7 linked regions of the Macaca fascicularis genome follow. The protein of the gene in region 3 interacts with the protein of the main gene of each other region in a pairwise test. Links are inferred from orthologs where the notes say so. Each region holds a gene or a part of one and is shown on either strand. Other genes may lie near its edges.

What was found.
Region 1: the proteins of MEOX2 (region 3) and SMAD3 interact in binary tests that used the Homo sapiens proteins (3 or more experiments, as listed by UniProt). The two-hybrid records come from large-scale screens. The link is inferred for Macaca fascicularis from reciprocal best matches to the Homo sapiens genes MEOX2 and SMAD3.
Region 2: the proteins of MEOX2 (region 3) and HAT1 interact in binary tests that used the Homo sapiens proteins (3 or more experiments, as listed by UniProt). The two-hybrid records come from large-scale screens. The link is inferred for Macaca fascicularis from reciprocal best matches to the Homo sapiens genes MEOX2 and HAT1.
Region 4: the proteins of MEOX2 (region 3) and TRIM42 interact in binary tests that used the Homo sapiens proteins (3 or more experiments, as listed by UniProt). The two-hybrid records come from large-scale screens. The link is inferred for Macaca fascicularis from reciprocal best matches to the Homo sapiens genes MEOX2 and TRIM42.
Region 5: the proteins of MEOX2 (region 3) and OIT3 interact in binary tests that used the Homo sapiens proteins (3 or more experiments, as listed by UniProt). The two-hybrid records come from large-scale screens. The link is inferred for Macaca fascicularis from reciprocal best matches to the Homo sapiens genes MEOX2 and OIT3.
Region 6: the proteins of MEOX2 (region 3) and PRKAB2 interact in binary tests that used the Homo sapiens proteins (3 or more experiments, as listed by UniProt). The link is inferred for Macaca fascicularis from reciprocal best matches to the Homo sapiens genes MEOX2 and PRKAB2.
Region 7: the proteins of MEOX2 (region 3) and KDM8 interact in a two-hybrid assay, tested with the Homo sapiens proteins (2 studies listed by BioGRID). The two-hybrid records come from large-scale screens. The link is inferred for Macaca fascicularis from reciprocal best matches to the Homo sapiens genes MEOX2 and KDM8.

What each region holds. Positions count from the first base shown.
Region 1 is NC_088381.1:43,874,575-43,878,074, reverse strand, and holds part of SMAD3 (mothers against decapentaplegic homolog 3), read right to left. Parts: coding exon 3,448-3,500; intron 3,282-3,447; coding exon 3,150-3,281; intron 2,416-3,149; exon of another isoform or gene 2,347-2,415; intron 2,071-2,346; exon of another isoform or gene 1,892-2,070; intron 1,805-1,891; coding exon 1,730-1,804; intron 273-1,729; coding exon 93-272; intron 1-92. UniProt on the Homo sapiens protein: Receptor-regulated SMAD (R-SMAD) that is an intracellular signal transducer and transcriptional modulator activated by TGF-beta (transforming growth factor) and activin type 1 receptor kinases.
Region 2 is NC_088386.1:67,464,675-67,468,961, forward strand, and holds the start of HAT1 (histone acetyltransferase type B catalytic subunit), read left to right. Parts: upstream 1-1,487; 5' UTR 1,488-1,566; coding exon 1,567-1,573; intron 1,574-4,287. UniProt on the Homo sapiens protein: Histone acetyltransferase that plays a role in different biological processes including cell cycle progression, glucose metabolism, histone production or DNA damage repair. Coordinates histone production and acetylation via H4 promoter binding.
Region 3 is NC_088377.1:114,566,473-114,569,972, reverse strand, and holds part of MEOX2 (homeobox protein MOX-2), read right to left. Parts: intron 3,089-3,500; coding exon 2,916-3,088; intron 1-2,915. UniProt on the Homo sapiens protein: Mesodermal transcription factor that plays a key role in somitogenesis and somitogenesis and limb muscle differentiation. Required during limb development for normal appendicular muscle formation and for the normal regulation of myogenic genes.
Region 4 is NC_088376.1:43,537,831-43,541,330, forward strand, and holds part of TRIM42 (tripartite motif-containing protein 42), read left to right. Parts: intron 1-1,378; coding exon 1,379-2,076; intron 2,077-3,500.
Region 5 is NC_088383.1:73,470,731-73,474,230, forward strand, and holds part of OIT3 (oncoprotein-induced transcript 3 protein), read right to left. Parts: intron 3,374-3,500; coding exon 3,266-3,373; intron 1-3,265.
Region 6 is NC_088375.1:113,073,662-113,077,161, reverse strand, and holds part of PRKAB2 (5'-AMP-activated protein kinase subunit beta-2), read right to left. Parts: intron 2,028-3,500; coding exon 1,894-2,027; intron 1,246-1,893; coding exon 1,177-1,245; intron 279-1,176; coding exon of another isoform or gene 216-278; exon of another isoform or gene 201-215; intron 1-200. UniProt on the Homo sapiens protein: Non-catalytic subunit of AMP-activated protein kinase (AMPK), an energy sensor protein kinase that plays a key role in regulating cellular energy metabolism.
Region 7 is NC_088394.1:26,301,814-26,305,308, forward strand, and holds the end of KDM8 (bifunctional peptidase and arginyl-hydroxylase JMJD5), read left to right. Parts: exon of another isoform or gene 1-23; coding exon 24-188; 3' UTR 189-2,995; downstream 2,996-3,495. UniProt on the Homo sapiens protein: Bifunctional enzyme that acts both as an endopeptidase and 2-oxoglutarate-dependent monooxygenase.

The sequences.
Region 1 (3,500 bases), on a different chromosome or scaffold from region 3:
ATCACTGCGCAAATACGGAGAGCAGCAGAGGGGGAAGAGGGAGCGCAGAGTGGGGAGACACACAGCAGCTGGAGACATGTTGCTCCACTGGCCTGCTTCCCGTGCCTGCACTGAAGAGCTGCAAGCTTGCAGCCGTCTCTTGGCATCGGATACAGGAAGGTCTTCGATGCATTCCAGCTGGTTCGCGCTGCTAGCCACTCCGCCGGGCGGGTGTGTTCCACCGGGTGTGCTCAACCCAAAAGTGCCACGATGTCCAGGCTGGATTTCAGCAACTACAACGGACATGCGAATCTCTTTCGTTCTCTCAGGAATTGCACAACCTCAGCTGGATGCGGTGTAATCCCACACTTTGGGAGGCTGAGGCGGGCGGATCACCTGAGGTCAGGAGTTTGAGACCAGCCTGGCCAACATGGTGAAACCCTGTCTCTACTAAAAATACAAAACTGAGCTGGGCGTGGTGCTGCATTGCCTGTAATCCCAGCTACCCAGAAGACTGAGGCGCGATAATAGCTTGAACCCAGGAGGCAGAGGTTGCAGTGAGCTGAGATCACGCCATTGCACTCCAGCCTGGGCAACAGAGGGAGACTCCGTCTGGGGCGGGTGGGGGAAGGAACCGCACAATCTCTTCTGGGCTGTGTGCGAGGGCAGGTGGCTCCGCTGTGTCTAGCGGCTCTGTGCGTATGAGGCATGCCCACCACCATCAGAATGGAACATCTGCGTGGCTCCCTCTCCCCTTCTCCCCCTCTCCCAACCACACACAACTCAGTACACATTCTATGTGGCAGCTGGGGTTCAATTCAAGAAGCTGCTGGTCTGGAGCCAATTTGGTCCTATAACAAATGATATGGAAAACATCTGGAGATGTAGCAGGCGAGAACTAAAGCCTGCCCCTCACGGCAGGAGCACACATATCACATGTGGTTGTCACACAAAAATACTGGCTTCAGGGGTCTCCACTGGTCATCAGAAGAGGCATTAGTTCCATTCAGTCTTTTCTTGCCTCCCACCTGACTTCTTGAGGTGATCGAGGCCACTCTCCACCCTGCTGCCGGTGACATCTCACTAAGGCCCAGGCCCTGCTTACAGCCTGCAGTGGTTCCCATCAGCCCTGACTCAATGCCAAGTGGTCTTGCCAGCTTGAAGGTCCATCACACCCGGAGCCCTGTGTGGTAGGCCCTCCCATCATTCTCCCCACTGGAGAGAGTGTATCCTCCAGTCATGCTGAGCTCCCTGGGCTGGACACTCTCCGGACTCCAGACACACCGAGCTCTTACTGTCCCCAGAATGCACCAGGCTCAGAATGCACCCAGAATTGCCCAATTCCCATGACTCTGCCTGGCACACCCCTTGCCCACTCTGACAGCTTGGCTAGGCTAACACCTACACATCACCAAGACTCAACGTGGGGAAAAACCTGGACTGCAAGGTGCTGTTCCTCCCCAGACCAGATGAAGTGGCCCTGCTGTGTGCCTGGTGCCATGCGGCATCTTCCATGAGGGCACACACGAGATGGCCCAGTGACTGCTGGCTGTCCTGTCAATCTCCCCCATCATCCGTGGGCAGCTCGGACCCTCTCCTATGCCCTGCCCCTTGCACATCATGGTTGCTCTACAAATACTGGAGAGAGAGAGGAGAGAGGGAGGAAGGGGGCGAACAGGAAGGGATGGAAGGGCTGAACCCACCGGCTGCTAATCAGTTAAGAATAAGAGCATATGCCTGCATGACTGACCTGCGTCCATGCTGTGGTTCATCTGGTGGTCACTGGTTTCTCCATCTTCACTCAGGTAGCCAGGGGGTGGGGTCTCTGGGAATGAGAAGGAAGGAGGTCCGTTAAAAGGCCTTCACAGCTGGGCTCTGAGACACCTTTTGCAAACACATCACACATGCACACCATGATGCTAGTGTCCCTGGCTGCAGGAGTTCCAGGTCTCGGAGTAGAGGTTCCAGCTCTTGGTTCTGTTGTCCTCGCCCCTGTCCACCTCTGACTCCCACTTGGATCGTAACTGCCTTTGCTCACGCACAACCGGACCAACTCCCACGTCTGAAGTGTATACTCCTAGAGCCTCCACCAGGCTAACTTCTCCTGGTCTTTCAAGGTGAGGGTTAAGCCCCACCCCCTCCAGGGAGGCGTCTGGACTTGCCTCTGCCTCACCCCTCTTTGTCCTCTGAAGACCTGCAGGCTCAGACCCACCCTCTACCGTCTCTAGGGGATGTGTCCTCACTCAGCAGTTAGGTTACAAATTCAATGGTCGCAAACACAGTGCGATCTACTTCTCTGAAACCTCCCCCAGACCCTGACTGAAGCCCTCCAAAGTTTGCTATTTGAACACAGAGTAGTTGACTTACCCCTGGGACGCCAGGGCTACCCGCAAAGGATCTGAGAAGGTTGGACAGTGGGTCTCTCCTTAACACTCTGACCCAAGCACACAGGTCTGTAGCCAACCTCAGCTCAGTAAACTAACCCAGGATGAACGTCACGTCCAAATTAGCATGCTCTAAGAGGAACGCAGCAGGATTACTGCCCCAGCAAGCAAAAGTGACTACCCAAGTGCTGCCAAGCACAGCTTTCCTGGAGTCGGAAAGTGCTGGTGATTCACACATTATTTGCATGTAAATGAGGGGCTTCTAAAAACATTTGCAGTCTTTGACAGCAAAGCCCATTTCTCCCTGCAGAGTGAAAACTCAAAGTTCCTTCAATTCCCACCCAGGTTGGGGCCCCTCACCGAGGCCCGATGCCCAGGCGAATTTACAGAACCAGCTCTCCGCACTTGCTGCCTGGCCCTCAGCTCACTCCCCGCCTCTGCAGACCCCCGGTCCACTGGGGACTGAACGCCAGTCCCGGCCTCATGGGCGGTGAGAGAAACAGTGTTGCTATTTCCGCTTCCAAAATAAATGACTGCACCAAGGCCGGGCGGAAGGGTCACGCTGCTCCTCTATGCCAAAAAAAGCATCACTAGTAAGGGGGGAGCTGAGGTCATGGGTCCTCTCCCAACAGGGATGTGGTTCTGAGTCAGGGGCCCTCAGGCCAGAGCTGTGCAGAGAGAGGGGATGAACGGGGGACGGCCAGGGGGCAGAGACTGGGGCCACAGGACTGATGTCTGACCGTTGCCCCTGCCTCCCAGGTCAGCCTATGCCGCCCACGTGCCTACCTGGAATATTGCTCTGGGGCTCGATGCCCGCGGGGAAGTTAGTGTTTTCGGGGATGGAATGGCTGTAGTCGTCCAGTGGGGGGAACTCGGCCGGGATCTCTGTGTGGCGTGGCACCAACACAGGAGGTAGAACTGTCCGGGGGAGACAGAGCAGAGGTGGCTCAGTGTCGATGCCAGACCAGCACCAAAGTCCCCGCACCCCCAAGTGCACCACAGACCCTCGGGGGGGGTGGGGGGGTCGGGGGAGAGGTGACGACCCCAGCACCTGCTGTCCCCACAGGCGGGCCAGGTAGCATACCTGGTGTCTCTACTCTCTGGTAGTGGTAGGGATTCACGCAGACCTCGTCCTTC
Region 2 (4,287 bases), on a different chromosome or scaffold from region 3:
CCGAGATTGTGCCATTGCACTCCAGCCTGGGCAACAAGAGCGAAATTCCGTCTCAAAGAAAAAAGAAAAAGTAAAAAAGAAAGAAAGAAAAAGGATCTGGGCATTCTCAGTACCTTTTCTGATCTTTATCTTCGGGAAAGCCATCTCTCTATCGTTCAGCAAATAAATACTGGGCTGAGTATCTGATGAACTGCACTCTGCATAGGTTGCATTCTGAGAGAGAACTTGGGCAGTTTATCTTTTCTGGGATTTGGTTTCCTTATCTCTAAAATGAGAAGGCGTGTTACTTCTAGACCATCATCCCAAGGGTCCATTTTAGCTTTAGCATGCATCAGTGTAAAACCTGTTAACAAATATTTGTTGAGAGAAGGAATTCTGGTGTATAGCCAACATTGTGGGAATATTTGTGGATACCTAAACAGTGCTTTATCCTCTGGGCAAAACAGTTCCAACAGCTACTAAATACTAACAAGGCCTACGGCTAAAATCAGGTAGCACCTTGTGATGTAATTCAAACCACTAGAACATGTGGCATGCAAGACTACATCAGGCCACTTAGGTATTTATTAGTTAACAATTTATTTATTTATTTATTTATTTTTGAGACGGAGTCTCACTGTCTCCCAGGCTGGAGTGTAGTGGCGCAATTTCGGCTCACTGCAACTTCTGCCTCCAGGGTTCGAGCGATTCTCCTGCCTCAGCCTCCCGTGTAGCTGGGATTACAGGCGCCCGCCACCATGCTTGGCTAATTTTTGTATTTTTAGTAGAGACGGGGTTTCACTATGTTGGCTACGCTGGTCTCGAACTCCTGACCTCAGGCAATCTACCTGCCTCGGCCTCCCAAAGTGTTGGGATTACAAGCGTGAGCCATCGCGCCTGGCCTAGGTAACGATTTTTCCGCGTTTAAATGATTGCCTACTGACCTGAAGAGTGAAAGCGGAGTACCTAAATATCATACTGTATACGTTAAAAACAGGGGAGAAAGGAAAAAAGATGTTAAAGTTTACAGCAAAATGAGAAACAAAGGAGGAAAATAAGTGAAAACTTCTTCCGAAACTGAGACTCAACCTCTACATTTTACCCTAGGTAAAATCTTACCTAGGGTAAAATTGCCCACAGGTCTCAAGTGTTTGGATGCACTGTCCAGGCCAAGAGGAAAGATTTTCAGCCAGTCTCCAAAACATCTCAGGGACGGGTAAGGAAAACAGGCGTAAACTGTCTGTATTGATCAAATCAACCCCAGAGAAACTTTCCTAGGGCCGGAGAGCATCTCAACCGCGAAGGTTCATTTGCGGCCTCCTTCTCCACTTCAGGCCTGCAAAGCGGCCGACAGCATTCGCACTGGCTAGGCAAATCGCACAGCTAACGGCCCGTGCAGACTTCTCCGCGTTAGCCCCGCCTCCTGAGGCGCTTCCGCCGCCGGGCTCCTGGACACGCCTCCTTTAATTGGCTAACGTCACGCTGGGAGTGGGCGGAGACAATGTGTCAGACTGTGCGGTCACTTCCGGCCCGGGAGCGCGCGGGTTGATTCGTCCTTCCTCAGCCGGGGGTGCTCGTAGCTCGGAAATGGCGGGTAAGTTCCCGGGAAAAGTTTACCAAGGGGAGGAGGCGGCCAGATCTGGGATAGAACGCTGAGACGGTGGTGACAATGCCCGCCTGGAACTTTCGGGCTGTAGCCTGGGTTCCAGAAGGCCTGCTTGGGACCGGAAGCGCGGAACTCTCAGCCCAGCAGCTCCCTGTTGGCCGCGGTCCGCGCCCCCGCCCCCAGCTGCTTGGGGTTCTGCGCCTTTTGCGAGCACCCCGGCCCCTACCGAGGGCCGAAGAGGCCGGGGGAAAGCGTCAAGATTTGAGCTTGTAAAATGCCACATGCCTTGGGGCCTGTTTCTCTTCCCATTCCTTTTGTCCACTGCTGCTTGCTTCAGATCTTGTACATCTGGTCCTGTTCCCGCCAGCTGATTTTAATGCTCAGATCTCCTCCTCTTCCAGGTCTCCGTCTACCTTCCAATACAGTCAACTTCTGAGCTAGCGCATTGCTGACTTGCCCTGCTCTAGCGCTCCCACTTGGATCTCGACTGACTTCATAATCGTCTCCTTAATCTCTCACACTTTAGTATTCCGAGGATCGTATTTAGATGCCTTTTGAGAAAGACTTTGTTCCTCAACTCCTCCCTTCTCTTTTAGGGTTGGACTACTATAATACAATTCTCTTGAGTACATTCTAGCGTCCCTTCAACTTACAACATTTAATAATGTATAATTGCTATTACTTTGTACGTGTATTAAGGCTGTTTTGGTGTGATTATTTTTTTCGATTACTTATCTTTTGAAGTTATGGACAGTTTCTTTTTCCTGAGACAGGGTCTCTCTCTCTGTCGCCCAGTCTGGAGTGCAACAATCATAGTTCCCGGCAGCCTCCAACTCCTTCTACGCTCAAGCTATCCTCTTGCCTCAGCCTCCCGAGTAGCTAGGACTACAGGCATGCACCACAACATTCGGCTAAAAAAAACACTTTTTAAAAACCTTTTAGAGAGGGGGTCTGGCTGTATTGCGTCAGGCTGGTCTGGAACTCTTGGCCTCAAGCCATCCTCTCGCCTCTGCTTCTCACAGTGTTAGAATTACAGGATTGGGCCACTTCGCTGGCCTCTGTTGCTTTTATCATCTCTTTACAGGGCATTCCTCGTAGTCTCCATTTTTATGGATATGTGGGATAGATGAGCTGTTGTGTGAGCTCTAGAGATGTTCAAAGAAGGACTTTTCTACCAGATAGAAATTGTAGGATCTTGAAGTACAACAGAAGAGGGAGGACATACGTTAAGAATTACATCTAAATTCGAATTTGGGGCCCATCATTTAGTAGTTGGATGCCCTTCAACTCAACCTCTTTCTAAGCCTGAACTTCTGAATATAAAGTGGAGTTGATATAATACCTACTTACAGAATTGTGCGGATTAAGCTAATATATGATTTCGCAGGTTAAATTTTGTTGCTTACATTCCTCAAAGTAAATTCTGTAATCTTAGTTCTGTAGATTAGGGTCAGCGGGATTAAGTAATGTACTCTAGTTCACTGAGCTCACTAGCTCAGTAAGTGTGTGAAATAGTCAGAATCCAGAAATTCTGACTCCAAACTGTTAATCTATACTGCTTCAAGTCTCCCATTTTCTGTGTGTGTGTTTTAACCCCTTATTGAAGTTCATAGCACATCTAGCACATCATTGTACCCATTTTTACTTTTTGCTTATGGCTTTTTTCTGCCTGAAATTTTACTAATTTTTTTTTTTTTCGGAGACTCTGAGTCTTGCTCTGTCACCAGACTGGAGTACAGTGGTGCGATCTCCTCAACCTTTGCCTTCCAGATTCAAGCAATTCTTCTGCCTCAGCCTCTGGAGTAGCTGGGACTACAGGCGCGCACCACCACGTCCAGCTAATTTTTGTATTTTTAGTGGAGATGGGGTTTCACCATGTTGGCAAGGATGATCTCCATCTCGACCTCGTGATCCCCCTGCCTTGGCCTCCCAAAGTGCTGAAATTACAGGCGTGAGCCACCGCGCCCGGCCCATTTTTACTAATCTTTATATTCATTTTGTCAGGAGATTTGTTACCTTGAAAGTTTCTTTTGATAGTGATATCTTCTAGTGTTATTTATTATATATATTATTGAGTAACCACTTTGTAGTAAAACTACTTTATTGTGCCAGTAGCTCACAGTTTATGACTTTAGGCACACATGATTTTTAAATATTTAATACAGTGGAAAGATGTTTTCTTTGTGCCCCTGTTCCTCTTCCTTCTTTCTTACCTAGGGTAACTGTGGTTACCAGATATTTGTGTATTCTTCTTGAGACATTCCATGCATTATCATTTCCTTATCTGAAGCACTCTGGTAGACTTTTTCCAATACTTAAAATGAAATTCTGTCATAATTATCAGAGGACATTCTCATTTTGCTTTTTACATCTTATAATGAAAAAGACGACTTAGGTATAAATCTTAGCAGATTATTTGTATTAGTAAATGTTCAGAAATGTTAGTAATCTATCATGTTAATTTTCAGGTTTATTCATTTATATTAAGTATGCCTAGTTTATAAACTTGTATCTCAAAAGTGATTTCTTTTTCTGTTTTGTAATGAGGCACCTTTTTTTTTTTTTTTGAGACGGAATCTTGCTCTGTCGCCCAGGCTAGAGGGCAGTGGCGTGATCTCAGCTCACTGCAGCCTCTGCCTCCCGGGTTCAAGAGATTCTTCTGCCTCAGCCTCCCAAGTAGCTGGGATTACAGGCACCTGCCA
Region 3 (3,500 bases):
CTCTTCTGCGAATTCTAACAGGTATTTCTTTAGCTTATTTTAAGAAGATTTTATTTCCAGCACTTAGCTCAACAAATATTTGTGTTACAAAAGGATTAATTCAACATACTTTGCATAGCAAAGGTTTTTCCCACCTGGGTGATAATTCTGTTTTATAGTTTATGCTAAAAATTATTTCATATCCATTATGATATACAAATCTACATAGAAGAAAGAGCAGGTAGTTTTAATTTCCATTTTGTGCCTTGGGGAGATTGTTACTTACTTAAGAACACACAATTCTAATCGGCAAACCTTGGATTTTTATTCAGACTTTTTTCAAAACAATTACACTCTTTTTGACTAACCCATGTGGCCTTCTAAAGACTTAGTGTTGATTAGGAATTTAAATTCTGCATGCATACATCTTTTCACATTAACTTGCAAAACTATACATAGAGATTTATTAAATAAAAATATATTGTGCACAGTAACAAATTTTCAATTCAGTGAAAACCGAATTATCTCTCATATTCTTTGTTATTTTCCCCTCGTGATGCTGTGGTTAGATTATTTCAGGAATGACTTCCAATGAAGTGTTCTGTCCTATACTGACACTGAGTTTGGTCATGTGGCTTGCTTTGGACATTGGGACATTAGAAAATATGACGTAAGAAGCCTGAAAAGCCCTTGCTTACTAGAGTTTTTCCCCTCAGTGCTCCTGGGAATGCTTCTATCACCATTGGAAGGATCCCAAGCTAGCCTATAAGAAGATGAAGCCACAAGCAACAGAGACTAGCTGTCCCAGCTGAGGCCCAACCATCTCTTTCTTAGTCAACCCACCAGCTGACTGGAGCTCCATGAGGATTCCATGTAGGGCCAGCAGTATTACTGTCCAACTAAGCCCAGTCAAAATCTCTACAAAATCTAAAGCAAATAAAACTTTAGTTATTATTTGAAGCCACTAAGATTTGGAGTTGTTTGTTACACGGCAAAGGGTAGCTAACACAAAATTTTAAAAGAATCTTTCAAAAAACATTGAAATAGTATGTATATCTATATGTAATTCTTGCATGTAATTCTTTACCAAGCTTGTCAAGTCAGTTAGAAAGAAGAAATATCCAAGACACCTTCAACATTTTCAAACCAGATTTCCAAAACTGCTTCTAAAAATAAATGATTCTGCTCCATGGTCAATGACAGATAACCCTAGAACATCCCCGAACTGGCAAGTACAGAATCTTGTTTTTCATCTTGGCTGAGAGCACAGTAGTGCATCCTGTCATTTCTACATATTGGAAGCAAATCCTAGGTTCCTAGTTCCTTCATGTATTGTATAAAACACGCTTGCATTTCCTAGAGTTCACCATCTCTATATAAGAACATTACTGTGTAATTCTCCCTCCACATACACCTTTTTATTTTCCTGTTCCCTGTTTTAAAAAAATAATAATAAAATAAAGGTCTGATGATGTAGATTTTGGATCCTGCTTTCCAGCATGCCAAATGTTGAATACATAGAGGGAATTTTGTATGTGAAGTCCAAGGGAAGGAAAATGCTGCGCTCCATAACATAGGTACTAGTCATAATATGTAATAAAATATAAACTGCCAATAAATAAAACCAGAGAAAAGTGTTCCTCTGCATATTTCTACTACCCATAAATAACCTACCAAAGCTGAAATGTAAAAATTAACAGAAGGAAAGCAGATTATTTAAGAAATTGGATAAAATAATTTGCTCTAGTAAGACATGCATTCATTTGTCCACACCCTGTTGATATTTCTTTGGTTCCAATGGGATCCTGGAGGAGGTACACACAGTGAAAGAGGAAATGAGACTCTAGCCCTAAGAGTGCCAATCATAACTGCACTGTCCATAAAGATGTTTGCATTCGCCTTTCAGGAATGTTTTTGTAAAGATTAGCAACTGTTAACCGGCAGTAGGCTAGATTCTCCTTGGGGAAACCAGAATCTGTACAAGGAGTTCACTGGGAAGACTATTAGAACAAATCATTTGTCATTTAAAAAAATGCAAGAAAGGGACCTGAAAAGCAATTAATTTAAAAATATTATTTAGGTCTCATTAATTAGAGTCCAAAAACATTAATAATTTCAAAATATTCTCTAAGTGGATAGCAGATTTTTCAATATCTGAGAGCCATTCAATTTCAAAAATATGTTGGGTAATGGGGCAGAAATATTTACCAATGATCTATGTGACCTTGCCTTTCATCATTTCCCAGCCATCTTGCACCTAAGCTGCACCATTTGACTCTTCTAGACATCAGTGTGTAAATAGAAGTGACATGGGTAATTTCCAGGTGAAAACATTTAAAGGTCAGTGCATAAACTTCCAATTCTTTCTTATTTCTTGTAGTTACCACGGACACCACATGTTGAGATGTTAAAGAGTCAGAATGGGTCTGTGAGCGATTATCTGGAATGCTGGACATGTAGAGTTTGTATGGAGAGTGAGTAAGTAATGAATATTTTTGTGTTACGCCATTGAGGTTTACGGGTGAACGTGTTACTGCAGGGTAACATACCCTATCCTGAGCAATACAGAAAACTAATCTGGGGTTACCAACTTTCTCATATGCCAAATAAGGAGATTTTAGCATATAAGCATACACAATTCCTCACTGTATGCCATCATTATGTAAAAGAAATAATATTTTAAAACCAAAAAATACAGAAGGATCATAATCATAGGAGGATTCTTTCTTAAACTCAGTAAGTATGGTTTTCTTTTAAATATCATTATATTATTTTTAATTTTGTCATTTTGCTGGCAAAATTTTATCATGGAATAGTATACCTGTCTTCCAAATGGTATTGAAGAATTCTGGATCTAGGTATTTCAAATATGGCAAAGAAAACTGTGGACCCAGAGCAATTAAAAAAGATCATATAATGACAATGTCCAGCTTTACCTGTCTTTCAGTGAGATCCAGATTCACTGCTATCTCGTATCGCCTCAGTCTGGTGAGATAATTATGATGGGCAAATTCTGCTTCAAGTTCTCTGATTTGTTCTTTGGTAAATGCTGTCCTTTCTTTCCTGGGTTTGCTGTTGACTTCTGACTTGTAATTTCCTTCCTGGGAGTCTGAAAAAAAGTGAGGAAGAATTGGTAATAACTCATTTATTCAAACACATGCAATCATATCATTCACAATTATTGAGTTACTACTTTTCCAGGTTCCGCACAAGACATGGAACAAATATAGACCAAAGACAGTAAGACTGATGGCAACTCAACAGGGGGAGATATGTTTCTTATTTTTCTCATCTTCCTTCAGGTAACTCACAACCTAATTGGGAAAGCATGTAATTTTCCTCTTATAAAATATTAACAAAACTTCTAACTGCTTGTAATATGATTTTAAGATAAACCAAAACCTCTCTAGAAAACAATTTTAGATATGAAGTTTTGTTTCATAAGTTGTTGAGCATACGTACTTGAGGTCTAAGTAAGATTGAACATAGTAATCCTTTAAAAAGTGGCATCTAGTACATGA
Region 4 (3,500 bases), on a different chromosome or scaffold from region 3:
TTGAATTTTACAAGTATGCTTTTACTCCATAGTTCTTACGATTAAATGTATGAAATCAGCCTCAGGCATTAGACAAATGGAGAGCTTTAACACACACAAATGAAACAGTAGAAGCACATACTTTTCACAGACTTGGCCACTATTTTCCTTTACTGTGATTTCTCTCTACTGCAGACATTAGCTGGCTAGTAGCAAAGGGATGTAATTACAGTGGCCACATTTACTGAATGCTTACTATGTACCAGCAGTTAAGCACTTACATGGATTATCTCATTTAGACTTTATAAAAACCTCACAAAGCAAGTAGTATGGTGAGGTTTGATTTATAGTTAAGAAAACTGAACATGAGAGAGGTTTAAAAAAACATCTCAGAAGGTACAACTGTAAAGTGGTGCATTTTTATCACACACGCTCTGCCTCTAAAGCCCAGATCCATTACCATTACCTATTGGTCTGGTTGGCAGACCACACAGGTTCTAGGCTTGGCTCAGGTACAGACTTGCTCTGTGTTCCATCTATGTACAATAAATAATGTCAATGTCCTCCAGGGGAAAAAAAAAAGCCCTAAGAACACACCTGTAGTTGGACAAGATTGTATTTATTGACTCATTGCAACAAGTGAGAATATAAAGCATGGGAAAGTGTAAAGTACCTTGAAAAGTTATTACAGGATTTGAGCTCATGTTAGGTGAGGACACGGGAGTAAATCTATTGAATATTTTAATAAATCTTATCTAGAAGGTGGGAAGAACAGAGTGACCCAAAAGCTGCTGGAAAAAAAAGAAAAAAGAAAAAAAAAAAAAAAAAACAGTTTTTTGGTTTAAAAAAATCAACCAGGATAGGGGGATGTTGGGTCATTTTCGTGATTTAGACAACGTTCGTGTCTGAGTCCAAACATTATAAAGTGGCCTTGTTTCTGCTTTGATCCAAAGTCACAGAGTAGCCTTGTCTGATACTGTGTTCTTTGATATTACCGATGTCCAACGGAACACCAAGGCCTAGCTGACGCCTGACCAGTCTCTGCGGCTTTTCCCTTGCTTAATAACAGCAAGCAGTTGCAGCACACTGACTGTGTACCATGGACTGCTCTTAGTCCGTACAAGCATTAAACTCAATTTTAATCTTCTCAAGAAACTCTGACATGGGTACTAATTTTATAACAAGGAAATAGGCCGAGAGGTTAACTGGCTTACCTGAGGTCACCCCGCTGAAAAATGGTGGAGACAGGTTGAGAACGCAGGCACCTTGGCACTCAGCTGAGGCTCCTCACCACCACCCTAGACTGCCCCTCAGAAACCAAGAGTTCTTTCAGAGGTAGAGAGGCAGAGCAAGCTCTTGAGCCTGCCTCCTGAAACCCTGCCTTTGCTTCTCCTTTCAGCTCCAAGACTGCCCTGCGCATTGGGAGCAGCGATACCCAGCTGGATGAAGTGAAATCAGTACCAGCCAAAAGCCACCTGGTGAACCACCTCAATTGCCCCATGTGCAGCCGGCTGCGCCTGCACTCATTCATGCTGCCCTGCAACCACAGCCTGTGTGAGAAGTGCCTGCGGCAGCTGCAGAAGCACGCCGAGGTCACCGAGAATTTCTTCATCCTCATCTGCCCAGTGTGCGACCGCTCGCACTGCATGCCCTACAGCCACAAGATGCAGCTGCCGGAGAACTACCTGCGCGGGCGCCTCACCAAGCGCTACATGCAGCAGCACGGCTACCTCAAGTGGCGCTTTGACCGTTCCTCCGGGCCCATCCTCTGCCAGGTCTGCCGCAATAGGCGCATAGCGTACAAGCGCTGCATCACCTGCCGCCTCAACCTGTGCAACGACTGCCTCAAGGCCTTCCACTCGGATGTGGCCATGCAAGACCACGTCTTTGTGGACACCAGCGCCGAGGAACAGGACGAGAAGATCTGCATCCACCATCCATCCAGCCGCATCATCGAGTACTGCCGCAATGACAACGAATTGCTCTGCACCTTCTGCAAGTTCTCTTTCCACAATGGCCACGACACCATCAGCCTCATCGACGCCTGCTCCGAGAGGGCCGCCTCACTCTTCAGCGCCATCGCCAAGTTCAAAGCAGGTCCTCCCCTTCTCCACTCCTTCAGCCTAACTTCTAGTTCAGGAACACATGGGGAAGATGGCGTGGGGCAATGTGCTAAGTGAGTGCCTTAACAGATTCCACCTAGTGGAGCAATCAAGGCACCAGGAAACACTGTGCTATCCTGCAAGTCACTATCCTGGTGTCCGCTCCTGGTAACCACTACCAGTCACTTAACTTCTCCGTGCCTTGCTTTTCTCACCTATGAAATAGGGGAATAGTAGTGACCCCCTCACTGGATTGCCATGAGGATTAAGTGAGTTACTCTATGTAAAGAATGCAAAAAGTCATATGACAAGTGCATAAAGATTCTATAATCTTGATTATAATCTGCATGTCCTCAGGTCTCATTTTCTCTTTTGGAAAATGAAGACTTTGATCCTATAGTATACTGACGTTCTGTGACGTTCTAAGGTGTTCTGTCACTGTTGGATCGCTTTGGTTTTCCTAAATGTGCAGGGGGAAAGAATTAAGTCAGTGCTGAGAATTATCTCAATGTTAAATTTCCCTCCATGAATTTTTTCCAAAACTTGCAGATGCCAAAGTAAATAAACGGGCAGCAAACATATAACAACAGGGACAATTCATAACTAGCCAATGGTATTCTAGTCAACAGCTTGTTTTTCCTCTGCATTCTTGTTCGTGGTGATTTGGTTGTTTTATATTGTTACATATAATATTGCTTTAAGTGAAATAATATTTCAGTGATGGTTTCAGTGATGGAACCAAGCATAATAATATTTCACAGGATTCAGCAAAGAGCCCATAATTTCTTGTTTCAGTGACAAAACCAAGTATAATCATATTTCACAGGATTCAACAAAGAGCCGCATAATTTCTGGGTATGTCTCTACCTGGTCAGACATTAGAATCCAAAAGATTCCTTTAGTGCCCTTTACCCTCAGGAATAGTTCCTTGTATAAAGGCCAACTTTACTCAGGCCTGTGGAGCACATTTTGTCTAATCTCAATAGTGCTACAGTACAGGCATTAAAATGTCCTCCATGGATAAGCCAACTGTGGTTCAAAAAAATAATTAGGACAGGCAGCTAATAAGTGGCAGATGCAGTCTATTTGACTCCAGTGTCCACCATTAATTCCACAACATTTATTTGACAATCTACTCTGTGCTAAGCAGCGACCAGAATCTGAAGATGAAGAGATTGAAGGGGAGGAAGGGGGAACCACCACCACCATCCATGGTCTGTTTCATTAAGGAGTGGCCTGCAGTCAGTTACCAAAGTGCACCAGATCAACCCAGGCCTTTCCCATTGTCAGATCTGTTAGTCTCCAACATTCAGATAGGCCTATACATTGGGAGGGAGGCAGCTTTTCCTTGAGCTGCACAGAAAGGTCCCACTGGATATAAAGGTGGGTCCAAAACAGGCTTTGCTAATGACCACATCA
Region 5 (3,500 bases), on a different chromosome or scaffold from region 3:
GTACCTGCTAGAGAAAATCTCACACATTGGGGAAGGTACCATTTTTATGTTAATTCTAAGAACACACAAAACAATGCTATCTACTGTTATGGGTATATACATAAATAATAAAAGCATTAAAATGGGACCAGAAGAACACATGCTAACTTCAAAACAGTCATTACCGCTGGAGGGTGAGAGAAGAAAGCAGGATGGGGTAGGATGGCTTTATTGTATTTACAAAATTTTATTTAAATTAAAAGAAAAAGAGGGCTGGGCACGGTGGCTCACGCCTGTAATCCCAGCACTTTGGGAGGCCAAGGCGGGTGGATCACCTGAGGTCAGGAGCTCAAGACCAGCCTGGCCAACATGGTGAAACCCTGTCTCTACTAAAAATACAAAAAATTTAGCCGGGCGTGGTGGTGGGCACCTGTAATCCTAGCTACTCTGGAGGCTGAGGCAGGAGAATCACTTGAACCCAGGAGGTGGAGGTTGCAGTGAGTTGAGATGGTGCCATTGCACTCCAGCCTGGGCAAAAGAGTGAAACTCTATCTCAAAAAAAAGAAAAAAAGGAAGCAAAACTTAACTCTAGTTAAATCTAGGTACATGAGGGTCTGTTATATTATTTTCTTGTATGCTGCCTGAACAAATTATGTAATTTAAAATAAATAAAATTATTACTTTTAAATAAAAACTAAAGGAAAATTGACACATGCTCACAAACACAAAACACTGTCTACAGTTTCAGAGGATTCACCTCCCTGAAGTCCCACAGATCCCTCAAAGGAACTTGGGGCTTTGATAGAAAAAGATTGTCTAAGATAAATTAAGGAAGAGAAGTGAACGATACGCTACCTTTGATGTTTAAAAATGGCCAATAAGTAAACATATTGATATGATTTGGCTGTCTGCACCCAAATCTCACCCTGAATTGTAATAATCCCCACGTGTCAAGGGTGGGGCCAGGTGGAGACAATTGAATCATGGGTGCAGTTTCCCCCACACTGTTCTCTTGGTAGTGAGTAAGTCTCACGAGATCCAATGGTTTTATAAATGGGAATTCCCCTACGCATGCTCTCCTGCCTGCTGCCATGTAAGATGTGACTTTGCTTCTCCTCATCTTCTGCCATGATTGTGAGGCCTCCCCGGCAATGTGGAACTGTGAGTCAATTACACTTCTTTCCTTTGTAAATTTCCTTTATAAATCTAGGTTTGGGTATGCCTTTACTAGCAGCATGAGAACAGGCTAATACACATATATATATTTGCATTTTAAAATCTGACTGTAGAAACCCTGGAAGCACATATAAGAAAATAATACAGCCGTTTCCTTGGGATGGAGTTGAGGAAGAGGGAAATGGGGCAAGAGGGTGACTGAGAGTTGACAGCCTGCTGTATACTTTTTCATGTTGTTTAATTTGAGAACCATTTAAATGTATTACCTCTTCAAGAGTTGTATTAAAACAAAAGCAAAGAAATGCATAAACAACTCCTGGTTTAAAATAAAGCCAAATATTTTTGAACAGGAATACATGAGGGTAGGGAGAGATTTCAGGAACCACTATTGCCCCTACCCCAAGCCATTTAGCATTAAATCACATACTCAGAATCAACCACACCAGACCCCTAACAACTCCTATGGCAGGGCTGAAACCTGCTCCACAGGATGGTCAGTGGGGTTCATTTAGGAGGTTTTATTTATTGATGTATTTATGATTTTTTTTTTTTTTTAGACAGGGTCTTGCTCTTCTGCCCAGGCTGGAGTGCAGTGATGCAATTGGAGCTGACAGCAGCCTTAAATTCCTGGGCTCAAGCAATCCACCTGCCTCAGCTGAAACTTCAGCTACTTTGGAAGGCTGCCACCATGCCTGGCTAATTTATTTTTTATTTTATAGAGATGGGGTCTAACTATGTTGCCCAAGCTAGCCTTAAACTCCTGGTCTCAAGCAATCCTCTTGCTTCCTCCTCCCAAAGCACTGGGATTACAGGCATGAGCCATTGCCCCTGGCTCATTTAGGAGACTGAAGAGCAAAAGCTTTTCTAAAACAAGAAGCACTTGGGCCCAGGATGTCGAAGCTGCAATAAGCTGAGATCACACCACTGCACTCCAGTCTGGGTGACAGATCAAGATCCTGTCTCAAAAACAAACAAACAAATACCAATAAGCCTTTTATGCTCCTTTCACCTTAATCTCCTGCCTCAATCCTGACCTGTTACTGTTCTTCTTGGGGGACCAGGTAGGGCAATCTTCCCCTTTCTCTCTAGACTTGTTTTAAATCTATTTGAGTCTGAATCCAAAACCTTCATAACATTACAGAGAAAGAGAGATGATATTCAATCTTGGGGTTTTCATCTCTGTTCTCTTCTAGTTATAGACAACATAGTATACAATTCAACAACTCTGGATTTCCTATGGATAATCTGACTCATCTTTCTTGCTACTCAGAATGACCAAAATTATATCAGTGAAGCTAGAGGAGTAAGTCCTTAGATAATTCTAAACCAGTGCTGTCCAATAGAAATATAAAGCAAATTACATATTTAAAATTTTTTAGTAGTCACATTAAAATTTTTAAAAAAGAAACTGGTGAAATTAATTTTAAGAATATTTTATATAACCCAATTATATGCAAAATATTTTCACTTTTATATATAACCAATATTAAAGATAGTATTATTATTATTATTATTATTATTATTAGAAACAGAGTCTCGCTCTGTCACCCAGGCTAGAGAGCAGTGGTGTCATGGCTTACTGTAACCTTGAACTCCCAAGTTCAAGTGATCCTCCCACCTCAGCCTCCTGAGGAGCTGGGACTATGGATACATGCCATCATACCCAGATAATTTTCATATTTTTTGTAGAGATGAGGTTTTTCTTTGTTGCCCAGGGTGGTCTTGAACTCCTGGGCTCAAGCCATCTGCCAGCCTCAGCCTCCCAAAGCGCTAGGATTACAGGCGTGAGCCACCGTGCGTGGCCAAACATTGGTTTTAAAATTAAAATAAAATTAAATTAAAATTCAGTTTTTCCGTCATACTAGCCACATTTCAAGTGAGCCATGGCCACCTGTGGCTACTCTAGTGGAGGGCACAATTCTCCACTGTCCCTAACCGTGATACAAATTTGGTGTGGGGCTTTCAGTCCAGGTATAAACTAAAAAGGAAACGCCATTCCAAGTGTTTGGAGACACAAACTGGGAAAATGATGGCGCTCTGAGGCAGGAAGAGTTTTTGATTTGTCCTTTCAATCCTAATAGCCTGATTCTACCTTTGATGAGTTTCTTACCAAAGCATGTCTGCCTGTCAGGGCCTAGCACAGTTCCTGGAGCGCATGTGCACTCGCTGGTATCTGAGCAGCTGCCATGGCAGTCCTCGTCGCAGATGTCATAAAAATCTACGGAAGAATAAAGATTATCTTCATGAGAGGAGGAGACCAGAGGACACGCTTTCATTCATTTTAGAGATGGTGCGGTGGGGCAGGAGGGGTGGTCTCCCTATGTTGCCCAGGCTGGCCTCAAACC
Region 6 (3,500 bases), on a different chromosome or scaffold from region 3:
CCCCCATACTGTATTATCTACCATGAATGCTTCTCGCGTTAACACTCCAGAGTTGACACAAAGCCTAAATACGACAGAAGGCAGGTAAAAAATTCACTTTTACACTTCCACAGGTTTTGTGGAAATGAGGAATAGGTGAGAAAAACCTACTTGGAAAGACCTGGCATAATGATAATATAGGAAAGAATATGAAGTTAGCATAGGCGGATTGGACCTCAGCAGTCCTGTCTCTGGTACTTACTGGCAATTTGACCTTCTCTGAGCCTTAGTTTCTTTATCTATAAAACAGGGTTTAAAAATAATACTTACAAGGTTATTATAAAAATTAAATTCAATAATATATTTTTAAGTGTTATATTGTACCACATAATTTGTTAGCTGTATCAGTGATTTCCCGAATCCAGCTATATAGCCAAGTAAAAGCAGCTTAAAAAAACTATAGGGCCCATCCTAGATGCACTTATTCAGAATCTCTAGGAATGGAGCTGCTGAATCTGTATTTTTACAATCTCCCCCAGAAGACTCTGATGATAATCAGCCTGGTTTGATAATCACAGAGCTATATAACTTTATTCCAATAGCCAAACCACAAAGACACAACAAGACAGAACAGAATGGCTATTTTCAACCCAGACTCTAAAGCAGCAGAAAAACCAAGGAGGACTCTGGAGTTGAAGAGACGGGCAAATCTGGTCACATCTCTCCTTTAACTCGTGTATAGGAGAGATGCAAGCACCTGAGTATATATGAATGAGGCACCTGAAAGTAGCTCAATTCCACCTTCAAAAAAGTGAAAGCCTTAATATCACATTAAAGCATTCTTTGAACTGGAAGCTAAATTTGAACTGGAAGCTAAACCTGCTTTTTCTGCAGAATAAATCCTATGCTATGAACTGAAACTTAAGTAAATAGCTGGTGGAAAGATTCTAGCCACCCAAAAAACAACTGGGCAGCAAAAAAGTCCTATCAGAGGGCAATTCAGCCAGCCAGAACACAGAGACTGAGATTTTAAAACAAACAACCTATTAGTTAAAAAAAGAGAGTTCTTCTATAATTTGATCATTACTGCCAGTTTCAGCTTCAATGAAATAGCAGAGAAAGTAACCACTGAGAACATATGTTACCCTTGACCTCTCATTCCAGGGAGCTCTGTGAAGAGCCAGGGCCACCACTCACCTTAATGGACAATGCATAGAGATGGTTCAGCATAACATGGTTGGGCTCAGGGAGTAAGGCTGGGTCACACTAAGAGAGAGAGAAAAAAATTACTAAATGAAATTAAGGCACAGACAAACCAAACAGCTTACTCTTCCTCAGAGCTCTTTGAGAAATTTAAACTAGAATGCGCTCTCTCTTTTCAATAATGTACCCACTCCAGTATGTATCAATAATAAAATCCTATTACAGAAAATTAGAAAAATTATCAGTCCAGGGCAGAAATCTTACGCCTCAGCATCTACTAATCTTCCTTAAGAGAGTTAGAACAAAAATCTTGCCCACAACACACAAGGAAGAGTTGTGTTACAAGGTAAAAATAATCATAGTAGGAATCAAGTAGATTGAATACAGACATAAATTATATACAAAAAAACTTTTATAATTCTTTCGTACATCCCCAAATGATAACTACTACTTCATGCTGTGCTCAAACAGAAGTCCATAGCTCTGATCCTGATTTTATTACGATGAGGAGACAACTACGATTTTTTATATGAATGGCTGAAGCAGCTGTGACTCAGCACTGGAAAAAGGCAATCTGTAATGTTACTGATATGTGTATGACTTGTAATCTCAACACACCTCTGTAATCATCCTAACCTCCAGGATCACTGAACTTTGGTCCAAATGGTCCTAGACACTCCCAGATGCCCCAGTAATACTGAGGATACTCACAGAAATATTAGTGTCTTTGTTAAGAATAACTTGAAGTAGATGAGGAGGAAGGATGGGTGGGGATTTGAATCTTTCCTCAGATCGAAACACATACATTTCTTGACCATAAGGCCCTGGGGGTGAGCTGGAAAGGTCTGAAAGATATTTATACAAATATGAGAAAGAGTTGGAGAATTAGCAAGAATGCATGGAAAAAGTTATCAATACATGGCAGCTAACATTAAATATAGTAGAAGTCCTGGATCACAAACTTGTGACCTGTGGGATCTACAGCTGTAAGGTAACCAGAGAAAAAATCCGAGTCCCCTGGACATAAACCATGAAGCTCCTCAACATGGCAACATGATTTGGGAGACAAAGAGATAAAGACTCAAAGACCCAGGCTCAAGGAAGAGCTATTACATTTATCAGTTGTAGGACCTTGGAAGAATCCCTCCATAATGGTCAGTTTCTTCATAAAATAAAAATAATCTTTGCCCTATTTCATGATGTTTTTGAGGAAATCAAATTAGATAATGGATGTGAAGATGTCTTGTAACTTTCAAACAATGGGAAAAGATTAGATTTTTTTTTCCAGCCAAACAACAAGTTTATAAACCCCTAACACTACCAATACAATAATGATTACAACAATAAGGACAAAATGTATGTAACTGTCATTAGGGAAATGCAAATCAAAACCATAATAAGCTACCATTTCATACTCACTAGGACAGCTAAAATCAAACAGATAGACAGCAACAAGTGTCAACAAAGGAATGAAGAAATTGGAATGCTCACACTATTCCCACTGCTAGAGGGAATGTAAAGTAGTCCCGCCACTTTGGAAAACAGTTTGGCAGTTCCTCAGACAGTTAAACATAAAGTTACTACATGACCCAGCAATTATACACTGGGTATATACCCAAAAGAAATGAAAACATATGTCTACACAAAAACTTGTATGCTCATAATAGCATTATTTATAATAGCCAAAAAGTGGAAACAATCAAGATGTCTATCAACTAATGAAAAGATAAACAAACAGTATGTCCATACAATGGGCTCTTATTCAGCCATAAAAAGGAGCAAAGTACTGATACATGGTTACAAGATGGATGAATCCTGAAAACATGATGCTAAGAAGCAAGTCACAAAAGACCACAATTTGTAGGATTCTACTGATATGAAATGTCCAGAAGAGGCAAATCCTTAAGACAGCAAGATTTGTGGTTGCCAGAGGCGGAGGGGAGGAGGGAATGGGATGTGACTGCTCATGGGTACAGGGTTTATTCTGCAGGTGATAAAAATACTCTGGAATTAGATAATTGTGATAATCACACAACTCTGAGTATACTAAAAATTACTGAGTTGTACAATTTAAGAGTTAATTTTATGATGTATAAATTACATCTCCAAAAAAAATGAAAAAAGTATGCAGACAAGAATAGAATGAAATATACTAAAATGAAGAGAAATATATTATGATAATATCTTTTATTTAAATGTTATTGTTTCTTTTTTGAGACAGGGTCTTGCCCTGTCACCTAGGCTGGAGTGCAATGGCTTGATCACGGCTCACTACAGCCTTGACCTCCTGGGCTCAAACAATCCTCCTACCTCAGCCT
Region 7 (3,495 bases), on a different chromosome or scaffold from region 3:
ATGACGTCCTTTGCTTTCTTCAGGTCGACGTGGAGAATCCTGACCTCGAGAAGTTCCCCGAGTTTGCCAAGGCCCCATTCCTGTCCTGCATCCTGTCTCCTGGAGAGATCCTGTTCATACCCGTGAAACACTGGCATTACGTGCGGGCTCTGGATTTGAGCTTCTCGGTCAGCTTCTGGTGGTCGTAGCCAGGCTAGGAGCTGAAAGGGCCGGACATGCAGACAGCACTCATCTGTTCACTGTGCCTCACCTGGTGCTGGGTCCTGGAATCAATAGAGATAAGCGGGACTGAACCTGTGTCCTGAAGAGCCTTCACTGCCCAGTGGCAGCCCTGGGGGGGCTGAGCTTCAGCACTGGGCGGGCACAGAGCGGGGGCTGCCCAGGAAGGAGCACACTCCAGGCCGGGGGTGCATGACAGAGGAAGGTGGGGAGAGCCCAGGAGGACCCTGCAGGCAGACAGCCTGCTTGGGGACGCCGGCATCAGAAAGCCTAACGTGTTTGGGAAACGGATGGGTCACACGGGCAGGGGTGAAACGTGGGCTCTGAGGTTGGCTATTCGACCCAGACCCGGCCGCGCTGTGTACCTGCTGCGTGACTTGGCCAGGATCCCCCGCTTCGTTGTGCCCACGTGGAAAAGAGGGCAAGGCCAGTCCTCACTGCAGAGGGCCGAGGAGGCAGTGCCGAGCCCCTGCTGCTGCATGAACCTTAGCCGCTGCCACTGATCCCAATTACTCTGATCCTTCTGCCCTTCCTTCCCTTAACTGGGCCTGCTGGACGCCACAGCCTGAATACTGGAGAGAGCTGGGCATTGCCCAGGTCACAGGAGAGAGTCCATAGGGGCCTGCTCAGGAGCCCAGACCCCTGCTGGGCAGTGGGAGCTTTCTGTCATCCTCGTGGCTAAAGGATAACCTACCTGCTGCAGTGAAGTGCAAAGGTCTTGCTGGATGACTTTGCACCCGCACTCATCCAGGAGCAGGCTCCCAAGTGAAGAAACCACTGAACCATCACCAGCCCCTGGAAGCCTCCCTCTAGCCACCTTCTAGTCACCATCCCCCAGAAGTAATGACTCTCAAACCGGTGGAAGGTTTGAGGCCGGGGGGACACCCAGGCTCCGTGCTTTCTGTAATTGTGTCTTGTTTGTGTGCACGCAGGTTTGTTTTATGTTTTGGCCATTAACACTTTCCCCAGCCCTCTGTTTTTTGTTTTTTAAACTAAATAGAGATGGGATCTTGCTATGTTGCCCAGGCTGGTCTTGAACTCCTGGGCTTAAGCGATCCTCTCACCTTGGCCTACCAAAGTGCTGGGGTTACAGGTATGAGCCACCATGCCAGCCTTGGCTTCTTTCTTCCCCCCTTCCAAGACAGGCCTGGGGAAAAGAGCCCCGGGGGTTCAGCTGCCATCCTGCCAGCACCTTGACCACTGGCTCAGCTGCTTGGCTTTTAGCTAAAAATCAAGCCGCCTCTGGTTGGCCAGGGGGTAGCTACCCTGGGGTAACTAGAAGGGGGATGGGAAGGTGGCCACGGGCAGCTGGGACTCTAGTTCCTGATGCCCTCTGTACCCAGGCCAAGGAATTTGACCTTTATTGGGTAGGTCCTGGGGTTCTCGGCCTTTGAGCAGACACCAGCAGCATCTGCACTCTGGAAAGCTGGCTATTGGCAGGGAGAGGCCGTGGCACTTACTCATCCTGGGAGTGGCTGCTGAGGGGCCGTGGGTCTGCCAGGGACTGACACACACAACAGCTATCTGGAAGTGGAGTCCACTTGGCTCCGTGGGCAGCTGCTTGCAAGGACATTGTTTATTCCCTGCCATTGTTAATAGTCAATTACCTAATCTTTCATAGGAAGAATTTACACCAGATGTCAACACCCCTGAAAGTAGGGAGGCATAAAACAGGGACGCCCCATGACTAGGTTCACCATTAGTGAGGAGCGGTGGCTCCCGGCCCGCATGTGTAACTCACACCCCTTCCCCAGCGGAGGGACAGGCGGGTTGTGGCCTCAGCTCCCAGTGGCCCAGCCGCTCCATCCGCTCCAGCTGGCAGGCCCCATGGCCCATCTGTAGCGTAGTGTGACAGAAAGCTGGGCACGGGAGGCCACGTTCAGTAACGTATGGTATCCTGGCCAGGAGGCTTCCAGCAAATGTCCCTTGTCAGATGAGGAACGGGAAAAGGGGAAATGGCCCTGCCCTGTGGGTGAGGTTCCAGCGTTCCTACGAATCCCAGTCTGAGGGTGACTTCAGCCCTCTGAGGAAGGTGGACTCTGAAGCCAGCTTGGAACCCAAGCGCCGAACAGTTGGTCACAGACCAAGGAGAGGCACGTGCACGAGCCCCTGCCTGAGATGTGGCCACAGCAGTCAGGACACTGATACTGCCATCACAGACACAGGACACAGCTAGCAGGCCTGTCACTGACCAGATGAGGCCCCTGCCCTCATGGTATTTTAACATAATGGCGTCAGGCTGGGGTGCGGGGGGGGAAATAAGGACATGGGAATACAAGAAGACAGTGTCACGCCGTGATTAGTGCCATGAAAGCAACAGAGCAGGGTGACAGGGTGGAAAATGGCAGCCAGGGATGGACTGGTGGGGCCAGAGTTTTTTGATAGTTGACATTTGAAGAGCAAGAGCTTGACTAGGAATCCAGAATCGGCCATGAGACTTGAGGCCCAGCTCGTGACAGCAGGTACAGCAGCCCTGAGACAGGAAAGCCCCAGTCTGGGGACAGGGGAGGTAGGAGTCAGGGCGGCTGGGGCAGAGAGGGGGGATGGTAGGAAGGGGGATATCAAGGCCATGGGGCCTGGGGGACCAGCAGGGGAAGGCACTGGGGGGCTCAGCCTGGGAGGGACAGGTCTGCAGCCGCTGTGCAGACAAGGGCCTACAAGGGGACCCTGGGAAGCAGGCCAGTCCGTAATTCCTGAGTGATAAGGTCGGGGCACCGGCGGGGGAGCATGGCAGTGAAAGAGAAGGCTGGCGGGGTAATAAAGGCTTTGAATGCCAGGCCAGTGTCTGGAACTCACAAGGGTTTTGGGTGAGTGCCAGTGTGTTGTGGGATGTTCACATCAGTGTCATCATGGAGGTGTTGGAGGCAGGAGAGACGAGCAGCAGGGGGGCCGGTGTCCCCAATGGTGAAGTGCCCAGAGGCTTCCGGAGTCCCCAGCCAGGACTGACTCGAGCACAGAGAATGAACGCCCAGAACCACGGGACAACTGGGTCAGTCATGAGCTGCCCTGGCCCCTCCTGAAGGCGGTATTTGCTGGTTGGCTTTTTGCCTCCTGGCGTCCATCTTCCCTTCTTCCAGAACGGCACACTGATTGCACTCTGGAGAATGACCTCTGCCCCAGGGACGCGGTCCTGGAAGGTCTGTACAGTCCTCCCTGGACTGGCACCTTGAGGGCACGTCGGGAGGAGCGTAGACAGGCTGGAGCTGACCCCCTGTGGCAGCAGCACCCACTGTCACAGAATTGTCTTGACATCCATGACCCTTATTCCAAGGTCTG